Danio rerio: one gene and its partners. The protein of the gene in region 1 purifies or fractionates together with the protein of each later gene. This does not show direct contact. Links are inferred from orthologs where the notes say so. Each region holds a gene or a part of one and is shown in the gene's direction. Other genes may lie near its edges.

What was found.
Region 2: the proteins of wdr48b (region 1) and atad5a purify together in Homo sapiens (affinity purification with western blotting; 3 studies listed by BioGRID). This does not show direct contact. The link is inferred for Danio rerio from reciprocal best matches to the Homo sapiens genes WDR48 and ATAD5.
Region 3: the proteins of wdr48b (region 1) and rad51ap1 purify together in Homo sapiens (affinity purification with mass spectrometry; 5 studies listed by BioGRID and IntAct, counting the BioPlex papers as one, with this or other methods). This does not show direct contact. The link is inferred for Danio rerio from reciprocal best matches to the Homo sapiens genes WDR48 and RAD51AP1.

What each region holds. Positions count from the first base shown.
Region 1 is NC_133177.1:53,191,973-53,198,705, forward strand, and holds part of wdr48b (WD repeat-containing protein 48), read left to right. Parts: intron 1-1,697; coding exon 1,698-1,793; intron 1,794-2,138; coding exon 2,139-2,244; intron 2,245-2,563; coding exon 2,564-2,651; intron 2,652-3,007; coding exon 3,008-3,084; intron 3,085-6,549; coding exon 6,550-6,733. UniProt on the Homo sapiens protein: Regulator of deubiquitinating complexes, which acts as a strong activator of USP1, USP12 and USP46. Enhances the USP1-mediated deubiquitination of FANCD2; USP1 being almost inactive by itself.
Region 2 is NC_133178.1:25,000,092-25,006,151, forward strand, and holds the end of atad5a (ATPase family AAA domain-containing protein 5), read left to right. Parts: intron 1-1,340; coding exon 1,341-1,499; intron 1,500-2,933; coding exon 2,934-3,012; 3' UTR 3,013-3,309; downstream 3,310-6,060. Other genes in the region: adap2 (arf-GAP with dual PH domain-containing protein 2), read left to right, coding at 4,724-4,811. UniProt on the Homo sapiens protein: Has an important role in DNA replication and in maintaining genome integrity during replication stress.
Region 3 is NC_133179.1:5,638,291-5,645,749, reverse strand, and holds the start of rad51ap1 (RAD51-associated protein 1), read left to right. Parts: upstream 1-2,754; 5' UTR 2,755-3,098; exon of another isoform or gene 3,099-3,155; intron 3,156-4,976; 5' UTR 4,977-5,153; intron 5,154-5,237; 5' UTR 5,238-5,338; coding exon 5,339-5,391; intron 5,392-7,459. UniProt on the Homo sapiens protein: Structure-specific DNA-binding protein involved in DNA repair by promoting RAD51-mediated homologous recombination.

The sequences.
Region 1 (6,733 bases):
AAGCAATTTAAAACACTGTTAATTAGGGAATATAAGATTGTTCTGTTTCTTTCCAAAGCTGGGACTTGACTTGAAATGCTGCATCAATAATTAGCAAATAAAACACTTTTCCATCCAATGTGTTACAAGTATGGACTGTAAAAAATATAAGGTGTAGTATCCGTGACGTCACCTGTAGGTTTCTGAAGAGCGCAAATAAAGCTACAAGTAGGAATGGCCAGCAGTAATCATTTTGTTAGAGCATCATCGCACCAACCGGCGGTTACCAAACAAGGGGAAAAAAGAGCTACAGATGCCTGCTAGCATTTTGCTTAAACAGGCTTTTTTTTGAGAGAAACACATAATACTTCATTACCTGCAACTCGTTTGTGTTCTGACCACATGTGATTGGTTGTGCACTATATCAATAGTGTTTAGACTTTTAAAATCACAGTTGGAATACATTGAGCCACTAAGCATTGTTCTTATGGTGTTTTTCTGCAAGAGGAAAACATAAATTACTTCCAAATACTTTAAATATAGCCTGTGTTAGTAAATTCAAGGCTGTTTATGAAATCCAGGCACAACACAGAATAACAACGTTTCAGATGACTGCTCTAGAGCCTTCACCTAATCAATCTGTCAGATTTTGGAGTGCATTACAGATCTAAAAATATTATAAATTGTAAATGATCTTACATAAAACAAATACATTTATAGACTTGATAATTAAGTATATAAGAATTTCACTAACCTATGAAATAGAGGCCATTTGAATGATTTGTGAGCACAATTAAGTAAACACAACATGCCATATTATCTGATGATTGTAGGAAATAATTCCAAAAAGCAACTGACTGTGTAAAGCCACAGAAAACAAAACAAAAATATGATGAATATGCCAAGTTCAGCAGCTAATCGGCCGGAATCAGCTGAGGTGATGAGACAGCGACTAGCGAGACCTAGCTGTCACTCAAGTGGCCACGCCCTTAATTATGCAGACTTAATATAACTCAATATAAATGAAACGATGATGAGTTATAAAAAAAAATTCACCCCCCTCACAGTTGTCATGAAGGGTAGTATTAGCTGTATACACCAAACCGTTTTTTGTATCAGGCTGTAAACACCCTTTTTTCTGCTGTAAACTTGGTTATTTTAACAGTGGGGTCAATAGAAATGTGCTCTAAAGCAGAATTTTGATGAATTTCTGTTTCTGTTACATTCATATTAGCTTCACTAGGGAGAGTGGGATGTTGCCGCTTGGTTTCAAGTTGGTGCAACTGGGGAAACCACTGTAGCTCGTGTTTTCTGTAATAAAATGATTTGTGCTTCACACTGTTTGGTTGTCATGTTTGTTGGAAATCAGGATTGACAGGATTTAGCTTTTGTATTTCAGCATCACGAAAAAACATTTGACAAAATAGTAATATTTTTTAATAGCTAAACTCACTTGAGTTTTGCATTGGGTTTACATTGAATGCATTGTTAAATGTTTCATTTAAATATCTTACCTAATGAAAGAAATACTTTTGTTATGCATTTGAATATTTCAAGGCACATCTAACATTACTTTCCATGTACCAAAATACATATATAATTACATAGATGAAAAAAATATCGCTATTATGCAGCTAAACAGTATGATTATTTTAATGTGTTAGCTTTTTTGTTTGTATGCTTGTTTTTTAATGATTATTTATATTTTTCATATTCAGTGAATCTTGGTGGGCTGCTCTTGCAGGCCTTGTTGGAGTTTTGGCCCAGAACTCATATAAACCCAATGGAAGAGGAGGAAAATGAGCTCAACCATGGTAGACATATTCACTTTTATAATGGCTTTTATTTTAAACCCTAGACTATATATTGAATCAATAATCAACATGTGCAGCTGTTCAGAATTTAAGTTTCAATAGCAATACGTTTTTTATTAGTTTTTTCTATCAATACATTTTAGTTATGCATATGTCATATTTGATGAAACTATGCTAAATCCACTGAATTCTACAAAGGATGCATATTTATTCTTGTACTCTAGTTGTGCAGTGTATTGTCTCCAGTCTAATTATTTCTGAAATTCAGATGTCTTTTTTTAAACACTACCTCTATACAGTACAGTGGTTTCTGACTAATCATCTTCTGTGTGTTTTTGTCTGCAGTAAACGGTGAACAGGAGAGTCGAATTCAAAAGGGCAATGGCTACTTCCAGGTTCCACCACACACTCCTGTGATCTTTGGTGAAGCAGGAGGGCGAACATTATTTAGGTCAGAATAACTATGATATAGTGACTATGACTTTTCAACTTGGTTGGATGGATAGATAGATAGATAGATAGATAGATAGATAGATAGATAGATAGATAGATAGATAGATAGATAGATAGATAGATAGATAGATAGATAGATAGATAGATAGATAGATAGATAGATAGATAGATAGATAGATAGATAGATAGATAGATAGATAAGACTAAGACTAAGACTACAGATAGATAAGACTATAATTTGATTTAATTTTTAAAATAATTGGACTTTTCTTTCACAGAACTTGTCTTTTTACAATCCGTTTTCACTGCAATTTTAGGTTATTATGCCGTGATTCTGGAGGAGAGACGGAGTCTATGTTACTGAATGAAACCGTACCTCAGTGGGTTATCGATATCACTGTAGATGTGAGTGTTTCAAATTTCACAATCAACTCAATAATTTGTTTTTGATTGCATGTTAAAGATTGCATATTATTTACTTTACATGTGTTTTTAAACCTTTGTGAGTTTATTTCTTTTGCACAAAAAAGAAGATAGTTTGAAGTATGCTGGTTGCTGGCACACATCAACTTTTTTGATGGTAAAAAATGACTATGTGTGCCATCTACCGGCATTTTTACCAGCAATATCATCTTCTGTGTTTGGCAGAGAAAAGAAACTCAAATAGGTTTTCAACAAGGGAAGGGTAAATGACTAAATGATTAATGAATGTGTTTTTTTATTTTTGGATGAACTATCCTAACAATGTTTCCTCCTTTCAGAAAAACATGCCAAAATTCAACAAGATCCCATTCTACCTCCAACCTCATTCATCATCTGGGGCCAAAACGCTCAAAAAGTAGGTTGTGTTTGGAAAAGGTGTTGAAATTAAAAGCACTAAGGATTATTCTACTTTTGTTTTTAAAGCTGCAGTATGTAAGTTTGACACCCAGTGACTGAACTAGGTATTACATTCTTGGATCAAAACAAAAACAAGTGCCAGGTTGCCAGATTGACCAACTGGAACGAGTCTGACAATCGAGCCTAAAGGCTGATTCAAGTCTTGTTCTAAATAAAAGCAACAGCATGCGATAGAAGTAATACTCTCCATATTAAAAGGAGTTTTTGTTCTAACCAACACCTGAAATTTTTATTTTAGAAACGGCTTAAATTACTTAAAGCTGAACTACAGAAGGCTGACAATGATGATGATTCAGCATGTACGTTTAATAATGTTAAAGAGGTTTAGTATGTATTAATTACATTATAAACCTTACCATTTCATTAGCGAGTGCATATTCAGTGTTTCTGAATGACTGTATTTAAATTTCTGTCGTGTTTTGTCTGGTGCAATCAGCCAAATTGCTTATCACTGCAAATCTCGTCACGTAACGTGTTTTGACACAGGGTTACAATGTAACCTGCTCACCTAATGTTTACTCTCGTAATATTATTTTCTAATTAATAACCTCTTGTGGAACTCTGAATCTGCATCTCATTTCGGAGTCTGCTACTGTCCACCGGAGATCGCATTTTGGTCACGGATGCATGCTTTCAGAGTCTTTTTGAATGAAATATGCTGTTTTCCACCAATGCAACCGGTGATGCTGAAATATAATTGGTTAAACTGGCATTGGGCGAGTTAAAAGAACCAAAAAAAAGACAGCCGTTCCGGCACATAACGCACGTTTTCAAAGCAGAATATCTGACTTCAGCATTGTTTTTCAGATAAACAAGAATGTTCACTTAGCATGTTTCTTAAATATCTGCAAACATATTATGGTATTTTTATACTTTAGAGGAGAAAAACTTGCATACAGCACCTTTAGTTAAACACTATTTAGACATACTATGAGTCTATTTTGAAGTGTGTTTAGGTGTTCTTGTGCGTGTTGGAAATCCTTGAATTGGATTCTGCTGTTTTTAAGGTTTGAAAAGTCTTTAGCTTTTGGATAAAGTGCTTGAAACTACTTGAAAATATAGTTATTCTGCTTTCATAATAATTAGTTCTTAAATAGGTAAATAATAATGAGTTAAATAAAATAAATATTTTTTAAGTCTGTGCGTATGCACATTTACAATGTGAGTTAATTACACTTCAGAGAGTAAATGACTAGGGGTGTAACGGTTCGCAAAAACCACTGTTCTGTTCGATACAACACAGTGGTGTCACGGTTCGGTATGTTTTCGATACAGCAAAAAAAGAAAAAAGCCTGAGGATTTCTCTGATTTTAATTTACTGGCCCTATTATTAGTTAACAATAATAACTGTACTGTGTTCTCACGGGTGGTGTCTGATATTGCACAGATGATATTGACATATAACTTATTATTTGCGTGCATTATCTTAATAGCAGTAACGGTCTTTTCATGAGCTGCAATATTAGTTTCATCTCAGTGAATGCATGCTCTTTAGCGATGGTGAACACGGTGTCAGTCGCACGATTGACAGCATCGTGATGATTAATTATGTTAGAACATCTCGTGCTTAATGTGTAGATTCAGTGGCAAACACTGTTACCTGAAAACTCTGTCCCACCGGCTTTACGGTGAATGCTTTAGTCATTTTCATAGCAGACTTTAAACACTGGAAGTCTTTTATCCACTCTTCAAAAAGTGTAAATGCTGGATTGACATTCATTACATTTGTTCCTTTGGTGGTTTCTATAACTAAATCTGTCAGTGTTATTTTCATTCTCTCGTATCCAGACCTTTACGTTTTTGCGGCTGTAGCTTCCTGTCATTGGAACTCAGCCATTGACAGCGATATTAACCAATCCATTCGCTTTCTGTTCTAGCGCAGTGGGCCAATAAGAAGAGCTTGAAGGTGGGGCAAGCATTGTGGGCTTAGTTTACTGCAACTTGACATGTCAACTGTTTTAAACCATTCCCGAGTGCTGCATTTGCTGTTTTTAGATGCTTAATGCGTGAATGCCTCCCAATTCCGCGCACGTGGTGAACATTTTGCTGTGAAAACTGGTCGCACGACATCAATTTTATGCACTCCCAAATATATTTTAACGTCGCATATATAAAATTTTGGGCGCATATGCAACCAAAACAATTAGTTGCAATTTCGAGCCCTGTCTCATATCCACAGCTTTAAATGTACCGAAAACAAAGTGTTCCCAAACGCCAGAACTGCTGTTGGTTATAGGAGGATTACATTAACAGTATACCCATTTTGCGAGCTAGTGCAGTGTTTGCCAAACCGAAAGTCTCGTACAGAACTGTTCAATACGAATACGTGCATCGTTACATCCTTATAAATGACAGTAATTCAATGTTGGGCTTGGAGAAAACATGCCATCACATTTTTTCTTAGAATACTGTACTGCACTATACTACTAAACTGTACTATATATAGTAAAGACTACTTCATTTAGTAAACCCTTTGGGAAGTTTGATAAACTAATTTTGAGAGGAACACATGATATTATTGATAGATAGACAGCTGGTCTCTCACCTGTAATCATCAATGAACCTATCAGATTAATCCAAGCCTACAATAAATAGACCATTTCACCTTACTTCTCTTACCTTCGTTTTGGAAAAATCCCCCCCTTCCACCCCATCTCCCCCTTTTCCTCCTCTACTAGAGGGAGTTCACTGGAACTACCTGCTCTTGGACCGCCTTAAATGCTAAATTACCATGTGGTAGCCCTGGGCTCAATTATCTCAGACCTCAGGCTTCTCTCCTGGGACAGCATGCCAAACCTGCCATTATTATCAAGCAATATCTAAGTGTGAACTCTTAAATGTACAATTGAGGAAGCATTTAGCGATTTAACAAGAAGAGGCAATACACGCAAGAATTACACAATGGATCTCTTCAGAGAATTAAGTGCTAGAGTTAGGAGGGAGTAGTGTTATTTTATTTATTTATTTATTTATTTATTTAAGAGAGAAGAGTGTTTCTGCAGGTGGTTTGTCAAGCCCACTTACCTGTGTGAAGCTCACTTCATAAATGCACAATGTTTTTCTATTTCTTTTCTTTTTTTAAATGTCGAGTGATCTTAAGAAACTATCAGGTGCAATTTTTTTCTACAGATAGTTTTTCAAGCCCACTCACCTGTGGGAGGCACACTCAGAATTTGCATAATGTTTTGAGGCTGTTGTGTGGTGTGGAAAGTGACAATAACACGTAGCATCAGATATATGTAGCATAGTATGTAAATATGTCATTTGCCACACCTGTAAAGTTCTGGAAATCATTTGAAAATGCATCTGGAAAGTGTTTGAAAAGTGCTTAGATTTGACTTGTTTAGTGTTTTTTTCCGAGATCAAGGTTTTGGAGATCCTAATCCCGCTCTGTTGTTTTCAGGGATCGCCTGTCAGCTAGCGACATGCTGCAGGTGCGCAAAGTGATGGAGCACGTTTATGAGAAGATCATCAACCTGGACACGGAGTCGCAGGCCACCAGCTCCTCAGCCAATGACAAGCCGGGTGAGCAGGAGAAAGAGGAGGACGTGTCGGTGATGGCTGAAGAGAAGATTGAGCTCATGTGT
Region 2 (6,060 bases), on another chromosome or scaffold:
TTCATTTATATATATCTTTTCATCATGGAAAAAATAATGGATTAGCAAAGCAGTGTTCCTCGGAATGAATGAGTTACCCGTTATATGTTGCCCACCCGTTATATGTTGCACAACTAGTGGCTGATTTAGTTAGGATTATTAGGCTATATCATTGAAGAAATAATTTCATATTGAAGCAACTAAAAAAGTCTGTAAACTCTCAAAAAGAGACAAGCAAGAAAAATTTCTTGAAAAATAGGCAATTGTTTCGGTTACCTTGACCATTGTCAATGCCAAGATATCCATGTTAGGACAGGAAGCCATCTTAACTGAAAAAAAATCTGCGCACACTCAAAAATCAGAAAGACACAAGCGAGATGAAGTGACAAGCAATTGTACACACCTATTGGATTGTTTTTAAGGAGCGCTGAGTCTTAAGTTGCCTTTATCAGAATATCCACTGGGTCTTAAAAAGTCTTAAAACATCTTAAATCTCAAAAGCCAAATGTTAGGCCCTAAAAAGTCATAAATCTACTGAAAGGTTGTGTTGTAGATCTTAAATCTTTTTTAATTTTCTTATTTTTCCTTTGCTCATCTATAGCTACCTAATCTGGCCATTAACACCCACACAATCACCAACAATCCATCTCAATAAAACTTTTTATTTAAAACTACTTTTCTTACAGTAACGTTTTCTTAAAAGTTCTACATTTATTTACTGTTGAGGATACTGACCCTATATTTTTTATTCTTAGTATTCTAGACTGAAGTAATTGACAGCTATGTTTTGTTCTGTTCTTGCTAAGGGTTATAGGGTTGTGAAGGGATTTATTTGAAAATTAATACAAATATTAAAACTATTAATATTATTATTATTATTGTATTATTAAATGTATTAAATTGTAATCATTGTTTGATAAGGCAAGTGAAAATCTATTTGAAAATAGCTCTTTGTAATTAAAACATTTCCTTCATAACGGTCTTAAAATGTCTTTAAAAAGTCTTAAATTGAACTTGGTGAAACCTGCAGTAACACTGATAGCTGTATATTTCCAAAATAATATAATAAATAAAAAAATCATTAAAACTTCAAACATGAAACATAAAGATCAAGCTTGTGAATTTATGCATGCATTTTCTTAAGTTAGTAAAACTGAAAAGTTAGTGTTTAATAAATTGTTAAACATTTTGTTAAAAACTTTTTTTAGTATGCATTTTCTCATTAATTGCAAAACAATTTAATAAGAGTTAAAAATTAAATAGAAAAATCATTGCATCTGCTGACTATTACATTACTCTGATCTCTCATTTTCATTTACCGTTCGATTAAAAGGTAATCCTGTTTGTGTTGTTGTGTAAAGAGTGATGGAGAGGAGAAGTGAGGTGCTGAAGTCAGTCCTCTCCACCAGGTCTTCTGGAACACTGGGCAGCCGAGCAGCAGTGGCTCTGGATTACCTGCCCTGTCTGCGCACCATCTGCAGATCAGAAAGACTGAAGGAGCAGGGAAAGATCAAACGCAGGTCACTTAACCACACTTATATTTTTACTTTCATTTTCAGTATTACAAAGGTTTATTTTCTTATTGCTGATGTATTATATCAGGCATATTGTATAATTAATTATAACTGCTTTCACTCAATTTCTATGTGGGGCACAAGAGAGTAGTCTGGAGAATGCTTCTTCCGATATTAAAAGGATCAGACCAGAAATAAATATTCTTTTATTAATTACCCATGGGCTTCTAAACCCATAAGGCTTTTATTCCTCATTAAAACACAAATTAATCTATTTATCATGCATTCTGATAGGTTTGTCCATCCAAGCATTGACCGCTTACGCAACTACTACTTTCAAGGCCATAAATGCATGAAAAACATGACTGGCTTCAGGGATTTATTTATTTTATGAGATCATATGAATGCATTTTGTGAGGAAAACAGCCTCCTAAACTATTATTATTAAACCTCAGTTCAGTTTCTATCACTAGAGAACTATAAATAATACAAAAAGTGCTGTGGGCTTTGTGTTTAAACCGCATTGCACATCAATGTCATTTTAAGCCAACTGGCCAATCACAGTGGAGAAGGGGCGACACAAAGACCACACAAACTAACTGTCAATACTGTACATCAGGATATTTTTAGGAATGTGTAGGCTTATTTGACATCAGAAATTAAGCATTAGCATTATATGTAATCATTAAATGTTATACCAATATTATATGCCAATTCTTAATTGTTTATAGACATAAATGTTTCTAGTTTATGACTGTTGTCTCACATTAATGATATCAGATGATGAATCGATAACTCTGGCAGAGGCAGACCTAAATAATTTAAAACAGGACATTTTTGTCACCGCTGGGGGTCTCTAATGCATGTCACACCCTTGTTTATGCACAGTGGCTCTGTTCTTTGTTTCCCTCCCAAAGTGAGATCACTTCCACTTATTCAGAGGGAAACACCCTTGGGCACATTTCACAAGTAAAGATTGCACTCTAAATTTACAGTGGGCAAACTAAAAAATATAAAAATAACAGCTTTAAAATAAACTAAAAATGACAAATAACAAAAAATAAAGGTTAAGTGCTTTATGCAAATATTTACAACCTATAAATAAATGTGTTAACTGATGCAGTTTTGTTTTTTTTATTTGGCCTGGGTGTATCGAAAACGGCGACACTTCAATTTGGTCAGAGTGCAAAGGTCTGTAAAAATGAAACGGCAAAGGGACAGGATGTGGTTTTAGCAAGCTTATATATGACACGAGAGATCGCAAATTGACAGACGAGGTTTTGTTTCACTTCTTCATATTTATATTTGTGTCAGTGTAAGCCTTTTACATTTTGTCAGCATTTGTTTTGTGGACGTTTCAAATGGTCCCATTCTTCACGTTGCATAAAAAAATTCACTTATTGCATAAAATGATCAATTATTTATGTTCTTTTTTTGCAGGTTCTTGCACTATTTGGATGGTATACACTTCACTCTTCCTAAAAGCACCGTGGAGTTCCTGGCATCCGATTTCCCTTAAATGACATGCATCTTCAGGCAGCCGGTCGAGGGCTGCTGTGAATATGCATTTGTACAGTAATATATACTCAGAAGGAGTGTGCTTTTATGTTGTTGTGTGGATAGCATGGATTTTGTACGGTTTTAAATTTGCCGTTGCTCATTATGAAGATCATTTATGTTTTGTAATTTGTCATGCATTTTTCAAAAGGTTTTATCAAGTAATAAATTTGGATTTGCTATTTGCCAGCAAACATGTTTTCCTCAAAATATGTATGTAAATTGTATAAGATCTTTAAACATGATGGTGCTACTGGAATTTGTGTGCAGGTTGTGTATGATTTATTTTCCTCTAACATATACATTTCAGCACATTCAGTGTGAGTGAAGGCCTTACCTTGCTCATTTTTCAAACTCTCACCTCCACCTCTCCAAAATGGGATGGTTTTATAGTCTACTTGAATTCTAGAAGATAACTATACCTGTTAAAGCAGTACATGCATGTTTTGTATGTGGTTTTAGTATGCAACTATGTACTTAAGATTAGATTATAAGTAATATCACTTAATTATTAATCTAGATGACAATATCATTTTCATTGGCTTTGTCTTGTATACTACCTCTGCTGAAAAAAAAAACTAGCTTAAACCAGCCTAGGCTGGTTGGCTAGTTTAAGCTGGTTTTAGATGGGTTTTGGCAATTTCCAGACTGGTTTCAACCATTTTCAGCCTGGTCTTAGCTGGTCAGGCTGGTGGATAACCAGCTAAAACCAGCTTGATAAGTCAAGCTAGCCATTGAGCCCAGCCTAAACCACCTATGTCCAGCTTAAACCAGGCTTTTCAAGCTGGTTTCAGCTGATAATTTCCCAGCCTGACCAGCTAAGACAAGGCTGAAAATTAGCCCGGAAATGGCTAAAACCCCTCCAAAACCAGGCTGATCAACCAGACTAGGCAACCCAGCAGAATTTTTTTTGTTTTTAAAAGATGTCTAATAGATGTCTAAACATAGTCATTTTGGCTTAAACAAGACTTAACTTGGGCTGTCAGTGAAAATCCAATATACATCTAAAAATAGGCCAAAACAATCATATAAACAGAAATGAATGACTACACATATAAAGTCTGTCTATTTGACTACAAGTCTAGTTTTGGGTTATTTTTAGATGTCTATTAGATTTTCACTGACAGCCCAATTTAGCCTTGTTTTATAGCCAAGCTGTCTACGTTTAGATGTCTGTTTGACATCTATTAAACACTAAAATTGTTTGCTGTGTAGTTAGGAAGTAAACTTAAGTTATACTGTAGTCAGGACACTGTATAAATGGTTTAAACCTTTAATTAGACGTTACTGGTGTTATGAGCGGTCAATCACTGTGTACAATTCGCTATCATTAGCAACCAGTCCTCATTTATAACGTCATATTACCATACGGTGTCAATGCTGTTATTAAAATAGCATGTATTTCAGCAGCAGCTCAGTGTTTGTTGTTTTCTCCAGGAAGTGAACACGAAGGGATTTTTTTGGCCCATTGAATGCTTGCGGAAGACCTCGCTGAAGCCGCTGCACCACAACATTAGAGGCGCATTTGACTGTCGATTCTGACGCGACAGGAGTGTTTTAGCGACCGAGTGACTGAAGTAAACCGCGAAACCGCACCCTCCACACGTCAAAGTCACAGGCAAGAGAGAAGAAACTAATAACGTTACCTTTATGTTTTTAAAAGCAAATCGCCTATGGCAAATCGGGAAAAGAACAAAAAGATACTTCTAGAATTGGTGAAGCTACCAGAGAATAACTGCTGTGCTGACTGTGGAGCTGCAGGTGAGTACAGTTAACGGCTATTGTTTCTCCATTGCTGTAAACTGCATTCACTCACAGTCTATTGGAAGTGTACAGAATTGTCAGAATGTTCTCTGATATTGTTCATTAACATCTCGATTATTAAAGTTGAAATCTAAAATATTGTAGGGGTTAACAGTAGACAGCTTGTCATAGTCATGGTTTCACAAAAGTGCCTCAATGGATGATATTCGTCTAGTGCGCTTTAGTGGCTTCAATAAAAACAAACTCGAACTTGTTTTACATTTGCATTTAGTTAAAATTAGATTTTTAACCCAAAAGCTTTCATTGAAATTTTCATTATTGTAAGTCATTCATTGTTTCACCTTTCAAAAACAACTGAAATCGCACTTAAATATTCTAGCCTATAATATAATAAGAATATACAGTTTTAATTTATTTCTATATGACCTTTCATAAAAAAAATCGCAGTTTTACACTTATTTTGTATTACTTGTTTTTCTTGTACAAAAATAAACTCATCCTACATGATGTTTCTCAATTACAGCTGACTGAATTGGGTCACTTTAGTTTTTAGAGGTATATTTTTAAGCTAATTAGCACATCACTAATACACAATTTTATATTTATATAAATATATATGTATATGGTTATATATATACACTACACGTTAAGATATAGATATGATTGTTTACTTGTTAAGTAATTGTAACAATGAATGGAAGTAAACCTTGAAGCATACGCTACACCTTAAAGGTTTAAGAATGTATCCCCATACTTGGTGAATAGGGGGGATTCAGTGATTTTGGGGCCCGCAATCCCAGTCATGGGGCCAAAGTCCTGAAATACACTCTTTCTACTTTTATTTAGTTTTTATTTATATTGCTGATTTTTTTTCTATCACTCAGCCATCATTTCGACATTTTGAGTGATTCACTTTCTTGAAATGAATTTAGAACTTAATGTAAATATATATATATATATATATATATATATATATATAGCAAAGTATACTTTAAATGGGCTAACTTAATTACCTAAACATGGATACTATTATAGTAAATAACTTTCATAAGTCAGGTATACTTGAAGGGAATTTAATACTTAAATACTTAAAATGAAACGTCTCACCCTTGACTTGCTTTAATCCAGTTTTCTGCACAAAAAAAGAGATATTTTGAAGAATGTTGGAAACTAGTAACCATGAGTGATGTAAAGTAACAAATACCAAAACTCAAATTACTGTAATTGAATAGTTAAAAAAGTGTAC
Region 3 (7,459 bases), on another chromosome or scaffold:
TGAAGACACTATTGGTTGGGTTTAGGCAAGGAGGAGGGTGGGTGAGTCAATCAGTCGAAAGCGGCCTCTGGTGGATTTACTTGAGAAGAGCAGGCACAAATTGCACCCGTGAGAGAAATTTGAGCAAAAGCATACACAGCGGCCTCTGGTGAAGTTGCGAAAACAAAAAAAAAAGTTTAAAAAAACGTTGCTGCTGGGATGTATTTGGCGCTCTCCAGAAATGTAAATAGCAGTACGTTTTAGAATGAGCCTGAAACATATCATCGCTCTTCATTTCAAATGGAAATATGAGGTAGATTTATGAGGTTCAGCTGGATGTTGTGACAGAAATTTGTCAAATATATTACTAGTTGAATGTTTAACATAATAATAGTCATGTAAAATATAGGATTTCTATTTTAAAATGTAATCTGTCTTTATTCAATCTTGCTGCTTAATATTTTTGGGAACACACTGTTCCAGTTACTATGACCATTTATGTGAAGCTGCTTTGACACAATCTACATTGTAAAAGCGCTATACAAATAAAGCTGAATTGAATTGAATTGAAAATCATGATTTTAGTTTTGTATTAAAAGTTTTGTAAAAATTCTTAATTTCCAAAGTATCACAGCTTCTATAAAAATATTAAGTTGCACATGTGTTTTTATTTTTGATTATGATACAAAAAAACAACTGTAATCATATTGTACATATTATAATAACATTTTATTGTAATTTTGGAAGGATTTTTAAACATAATTGATTTTAATAAATATTTATTTTCTTCTTTGCCATGATGACAGTACATAATATTTTGCAATAGACTAGTTTTCAGCTTAAAGTGACATTTAAAGGCTTAACTAGGTTAATTAGGCAAGCCATTGGTCAGCAGTGCTATGTTCCATAGCAATCAAACATAATAATGTTTCATATTTCTTAAGAGGGCTAATAATATCAACCTCAGCAGTTTTAAATTAAAACTAAAGACTAAAACTAAAAGAAATATGACTTTCTTTAAATAATGTAAAAGGAAATACCGCAAAAAGCCTGTATTGAAGGAGTAATGTGATTGCAGCTATATTATAATAATAGTATAGTACTCGCCTCACAGCAAGAAGGTCGATGGTTTAAGTCCCGGCTGGGCCAGTTGGCATTTCTGTGTGAAGTTTGCATGTTCTCCCCGTGTTGGCATGGGTTTCCTCTGGGTGCTTCGGGTTCCCCCACTGTCGAATCCAATGCATAAAGCATATGCTGTAATAGTTGGCGGTTAATTCTGCTGTGGTGACCCCTGGTAAATAAGAGACTAAGCTGAAGGAGAATGAATGAATGCTGATATAAATTGGTGAGCGTATGTGAGATTTCTCCTGAAAACATTTAAAAGCAGCTTCTGACCTACAAAATTGCTTGTTTAGTCATTTTAGTATTATTTTCTAACAGCACCCAAATGCTCACACAGAAGATCCTGCTTTTGTCTCTCCAGGTAAAGACTCGCTTCAAGAAGTTCCTCAAATCCTTGTTTCAGCGCATGTTAGAGGAGCACGGCTCTGCGTTGAGCTCTGCGCCATCGGAAGCAGATCAGCCTGTGATCGCTGGACTGGCAGACGATGGAGCACAGAACGTACCCGTCCACGCTCTGATGGTCAGTCACGGGGCGTTTATCCGCGTATCTGTGCGTCATCTGGTGGAGGATCTGCAGTGCTGTCTGCCCGCAGGTCTTAAGATGAACCAGGTGTTTTCTCCATGTCCAAACACTGGCATCAGCAGGTTCATCTTCACCATCCATAGGGAAGAGAGTGTCCTGCGGGCCACACGCATACAGGGGGTCTTTATCAACAGAAAAGACCACCTGGAGGAAGTCAAAAACTCTGACTGACAGGGCTCACTAAGACTGCTTGATTTGACAGTTTGTATTGCAAACCCAGCAACTGAAGCACATTACAAGTCTGTGTGTTTGATTTTATCATGAGTATTATTTAAATGCAGTTTTGTGAGCTGGCTGAACGTAAACACTCATAAGATGTCTTTTTTGATGTCGTCCATTATTTAAGCACTTTAAAGTTGCACCACCGCAGTTTTGGCCTCTATATTCACACGTAATGTGTACACGTATTCGTTTTCATGCAATAAAAGAAATGCTGAAACTTGAAATCAAGGAAGTTTGATTTGTTTTTGGATTTGTAAGTTAGTAGTAAGTATTTTCCCTTGGAAATGTATACTTTGTGTGCAGAGAAAATATTTGAATGTATTGAAAAGTGTATTGAAATGAATCAAAGTATGCTTGAAATAAAAAAAAAATGGACAGTCAAGTCAGGGAAATGGCGTAGCATATTTCTCACAGTTAAATTAATCATTTTAATTTCTTCTTTTGTTAATTATTGTTTTTAAAAGTGAAGCTAAAGCAGTGATTTTAATGTGAGCTTACAATCACTTAAGATAAACAACAGCATTGTTCATAGACTACTAGCACTTTTAAAAGCAAAAACTATTCATGTATAATTTAGTTATTTTGCTTCTTTACTATATTTATCTAGATTTAAGAATGTTCAGTGTTTACCAATGTGTTTACATGTCTGTGATATAAAATTATATTAGCCTAAAGTAGGCCTAATTGAAACAAAAAAACAAAATATTGAATCAAAAGTCCTTACCTTGGCCATTAAATTGATGTTCTGCTGTTGTTCACCATAATATTAGCGTAGCAATTCTCTCCGACTCGCTCAGAAATTGAAGGTTAAAAACAATACGTCATAAAAAACAACATGTGACGTAAATACACACTTCGTTTGCTGAAAAAGTAATCACGTCAGCGGTCGGAGTGCGTGAACGCGCATGGCAAATTAACGGTCGATGAGTTCAGAATTTTCGCTAATAATACATCAAATTGCGTTTTATTTTTTACCATATACGCTCAGAACACTTGAAATTAATGGATTGTGTCGTGTATGACCATCCTTTAAAACGTTTTATCAAAACTATAGTCATGGACGAGAGCGAGCACGACGTTTTAACTGAATTTTCAAACATGTAACGTTAACTTAGCCTAGATAGTGTGCTTTGTCTGCTGTTTTTTTTCCACAGAGTACAGAAGGACATGACTTGTCTTGAAAAACACCAAGGTAAGTTAAATAATGTCTGCGTTTTATATTTTTTGGTTGACGTTCATTCATTCTTTCATTCAAACTTTATTTATAAAGCACTTAACCACCAAAGTGCAGTAACGTTACAGTCTAACGAGTTAACGAGTCAGATATACGTACACACTATGCACACTATTTAAAACAAACATAAAATCAAGTGCCAAAGGTTAAGGGAAAAGATTTTGAGAGGTTTTGAGATGGGATATGAACAAAGACAACGTTTTTGATGTTATTATTATTGAATATAAGAATAATAACATCACTGCATTGAAGAAAAAAATAATAACAAAAAAACAAACAAACAGAAAACAATACAAACTTTACAAAGCCTCAATTTTTAAGAAAAAAAAGATTATCATAAGCTTTAGGAAACTTATTTTTCTTATTATTAATAATAAGAGATTCAGTTTCTGCAAGTAAAAGTATTAAATCTAGGGACTGCCTTTAGAAACTTATTTTTGTGTGAAAAATATTAAGAGTGGAACAAATAATAATAACAAGAAGATGGAGAGCATGATCATTGCCTGAGAGATACAGAAATATATCTTTTATAGACAAATTTAAATCATATTTAAATAAGGACGATAAATAAAAAATCTTATTCCAAAGACGTGAGTGATTGAGTGCAACTATAGAATAAGTGAAATAAAGTCTCTTCATGTTTATTACAGAAAGTACACAAATTAGATAGTTCAAAATAAATAGCAATTTGGGAATTTGTAGGATATACATATGAAAATCTTAAAATGTATCTCTCTTTGTTGGACATGCTGAATTTTTTAGGTAATAACCATGCTCTCTTCCATTGAATGCTGTCAGAGGAATTGGCCCAGAAATATGTACATCTTTGGGAGGTATAGAGTAATGTAACAATCGTCTGACATGTCGGTTGTCACATTTTTTTTAATCAAAAAAAGAATCTCCATCCAAAAAAAAAAAGTTTAGGTGTAATTGTTTTCCCCTCATTGAAGTAAAGAAACATTTGAAATAAATTCACATAACTTGACATGGCGGCGCAGTAGGTAGTGCTGTCGCCTCACAGCCAAGAAGGTCGCTGGTTCGAGCCTCGGCTGGGTCAGTTGGCATTTCTGTGTGGAGTTTGCATGTTTTCCCTGCGTTCGCATATTCCTCCGGGTGCTCCGGTATCACCCACAGTCCAAAGGCGTGGTACAGGTGAATTGGGTGAGCTAAATTGTCAGTAGTGTATGAGTGTGAATGATTGTGTGTGATTGTTTTCCAGAGATGGGTTGCAGCTGGAAGGGTATTTGCTGCGTAAAGACCATAGACTGTAAAATATAGGTAAAGACGTGCTGGATAAGTTGGCGGTTCATTCCGCTGTGGGGACCCCGGATTAATAAAGACAATAAGCCGAAAATAAAATAAATGTGTGAATGAACTTGGTGACAAAACTATATATAACACAATTGAAGGTTGTGGCTGGCAGACGGAAATTATACCATAAACTCATAAACTCCTCATATTCCAGAATATTGCCATAATTTTTTTAATTAGTCCAAAACAAAAACAAACCACCTATCAATAAAAAGAGATTTCTCATGAATTAAGACTTTAAAGTTATTCCTAAGTATTTCTTTGTGTGGGGAAAATAAACAAAGACAACGAAGGAGCCAGTCTAATGGAAAGTGACGTAATGCATATTAGGGTATACTATTTTCAATTTCATATTTTATTGGATTATATCGATTATGCGATGGTATGTATGTGTAAACCTATTAGTGATCAGAAGGTAAAATATCAAATGTCCATCATAAAAATGGGCATTTGAAGATTGTATTTATATTGATCGTCAGATCCTATGATTTTAGGCTAATTGAATTGTGTCTCCTCATCCAATAGATGGCGCTGTGCTACTGACCTCTGGAGGACAGATGTGCCAACCTGCTGATGGGTAGGAGAATGGGACACGTCTTCTCTGCCGCCCACTCCAACAGGAAACATTCACCATCTTTGGTCCCTCATTTTCTCCGGCGAGGGAAACTTAGTGATCTTCTAAGGCTTGTCATTTTCCTGCCGGTAAGTGGGCGGCAATTTGGTTGAGTTGGTCACGCAGGGGACCTGGACGACTCAAAAGCACTGACTGACGTCCTGCAATCCAAGCAGACGATAGACTAGTTTGTGGCCACACATTCTTCAACTCCTCCAGACGATCCTAAAATATCTGCTCAGACAAATCACATTTCTTACATGCACATGTGTTCATGCTGAAGCTGCCAATGTGCTCATCATCAAAGCTCTGCAGCAGCAGCTTCAGGTATGTTATTGTCCAATATGTTTGTACACTCAAACAGCTGCTGTGTCCATAGACAGGAAAAGGCCACTTCTATATAAAACCCTGCAGTTTTATTTAGTTTCCACAGTTTAGACACCCAAACAAAGCCACGTGCCCACAATGTTTTGTTCTGCTGCAGTTCCACTTAACTGTTTGGTTTGTTTTTCCCAGCGGGTCAGTCTGATCCTCCAAACCCAACAATCAAACTAGACAAGTGTAGACTTGATAAGACCACCAAACAATATTACACTTTTTTTTTCGTTCATGTCGGGAAACCTGTTTTTAATTATCATTTTTACTTGAAATCGTATCAGTGATGCCATACTTTTTAAAGAGTTTGATCAAGGGAAAACAAAAAACTTCAAAATGATTCGAAAAGATTCAATTGTTCTGAAAAATGGTCACAAATGGGTTGTTCAAGGTAAAAAAAATAGCAATTTGGAAATAGGGCGGCACGGTGGCTCAGTGTATAATAATTAATATGAATTTTATCATTTAAAAAATATTTTGCAATAATATTCTAAATTAAGGGGCAAGCAAGAGAGTCCTCAAAGCAAGCAAGTCCCCGTTGGGTCAGTTGACATTTCTGTGTGGAGTTTGCATGTTCTCCACATGTTCGCGTGGGTTTCCTCTGAGTGCTCCGATTTCCCCCACAGCCCAAAGACATGCACTATAGGTCAATTGAATGAACTAATTGGCTGTAGTGTGTGTGAACGAATGAATGGGTGTTTTCCAGTGCTGGGTTACAACTGGAAGGGCATCCACTGCGCAAAACATATGCTGGGATAGTTGGCGGTTCATTCCGCTGTGTTGAAATCGAGACTAAGCTGAAGGACAATAAATAAATTTCAGTTTTTGAGATTTTACCCTCTAATTTGAAACGCAACTTGCTTTAATTAAAAAAATTACATTTTTGCACTTCAGTGGATAATCTGCATAAAAATAGTGTCTTCTTTAAATAAAGTATGAGCTCCAGAGCAATTCGGATTTAAAACAGTAAACGTTGCGCTCGAAATGTATCCTATTACAATTTGAATTTTTTAAAATTATTATCTTAATAGGTGTTTCTTTTATTCCAGTGTCAATCAGACTGTTGAACACTGATAGATAGTGTATGTAATTCTTTTGCATGTTGACTTAATTTTAATTGTTATTGTGTAAGAACTTGCTGAAGCGCTGTGTGAGTCCACAGAAAATTTCTCATTTAGGGACAATAAAGTATACAAACAAACAAACAAACAAACAAAATATATACATACACACACATTTATTATGTAAAATAGTTCTATTTAAAGTTATTTGCATTCCAAAAACTACTACAAAAATGATTTTTGCACCATACTTAACGCAGTCTTATAATAATTATAATAATTAATAAAATTTGTATTATTTAAAAAACATTTTGCAATAATATTTCAAATTGAGGGGCAAGCAAACGAGTCCTCAAAGCAAGCGAGTCCCAGTTGGACGAGTTGGCATTTCTGTGTGGAGTTTGCATGTGCTCCACATGTTCGCATGGGCTTTCTCTGGGTGCTCCGATTTCCTCCACAGCCTAAAGACATGCGCTATAGGGGAATTAAATAAACTAAATTGGCCGTAGTGTATGAGTATGTATAAATGCCAGAGTGTATGGGCATCCGCTGCATAAAACATATGCAGCAATAGTTGGTGGTTCATTCCACTGTGGTGACCTCAGAATTAGCTGAAAGAAAATTGATCATTTAATCATTAATCATTTAATAATCAATAATTAATCATTAATCATCACTTGCATAAATGAGATCATCACTGGCTCCACATGATGACAAGTTTCACTGAATCGCTTCAATAAATATGGCTGAGTTATAATTGCCCTCTAGCTAATAATCCAATGTTTGTGGATAAAACTCCTCCATTATCACCTCTGAAAGCAGTTTGTAGTTTTTAATTTGTGCTATTAATGCTGCATAGTCCATAGTGAAAGTCAAGTCCCGGAGGAGCGTAATTTGATGACACAGCGACCTGTGAGATGAACAGATCAATACCTTACGCTTAAGCACCTACATTAATC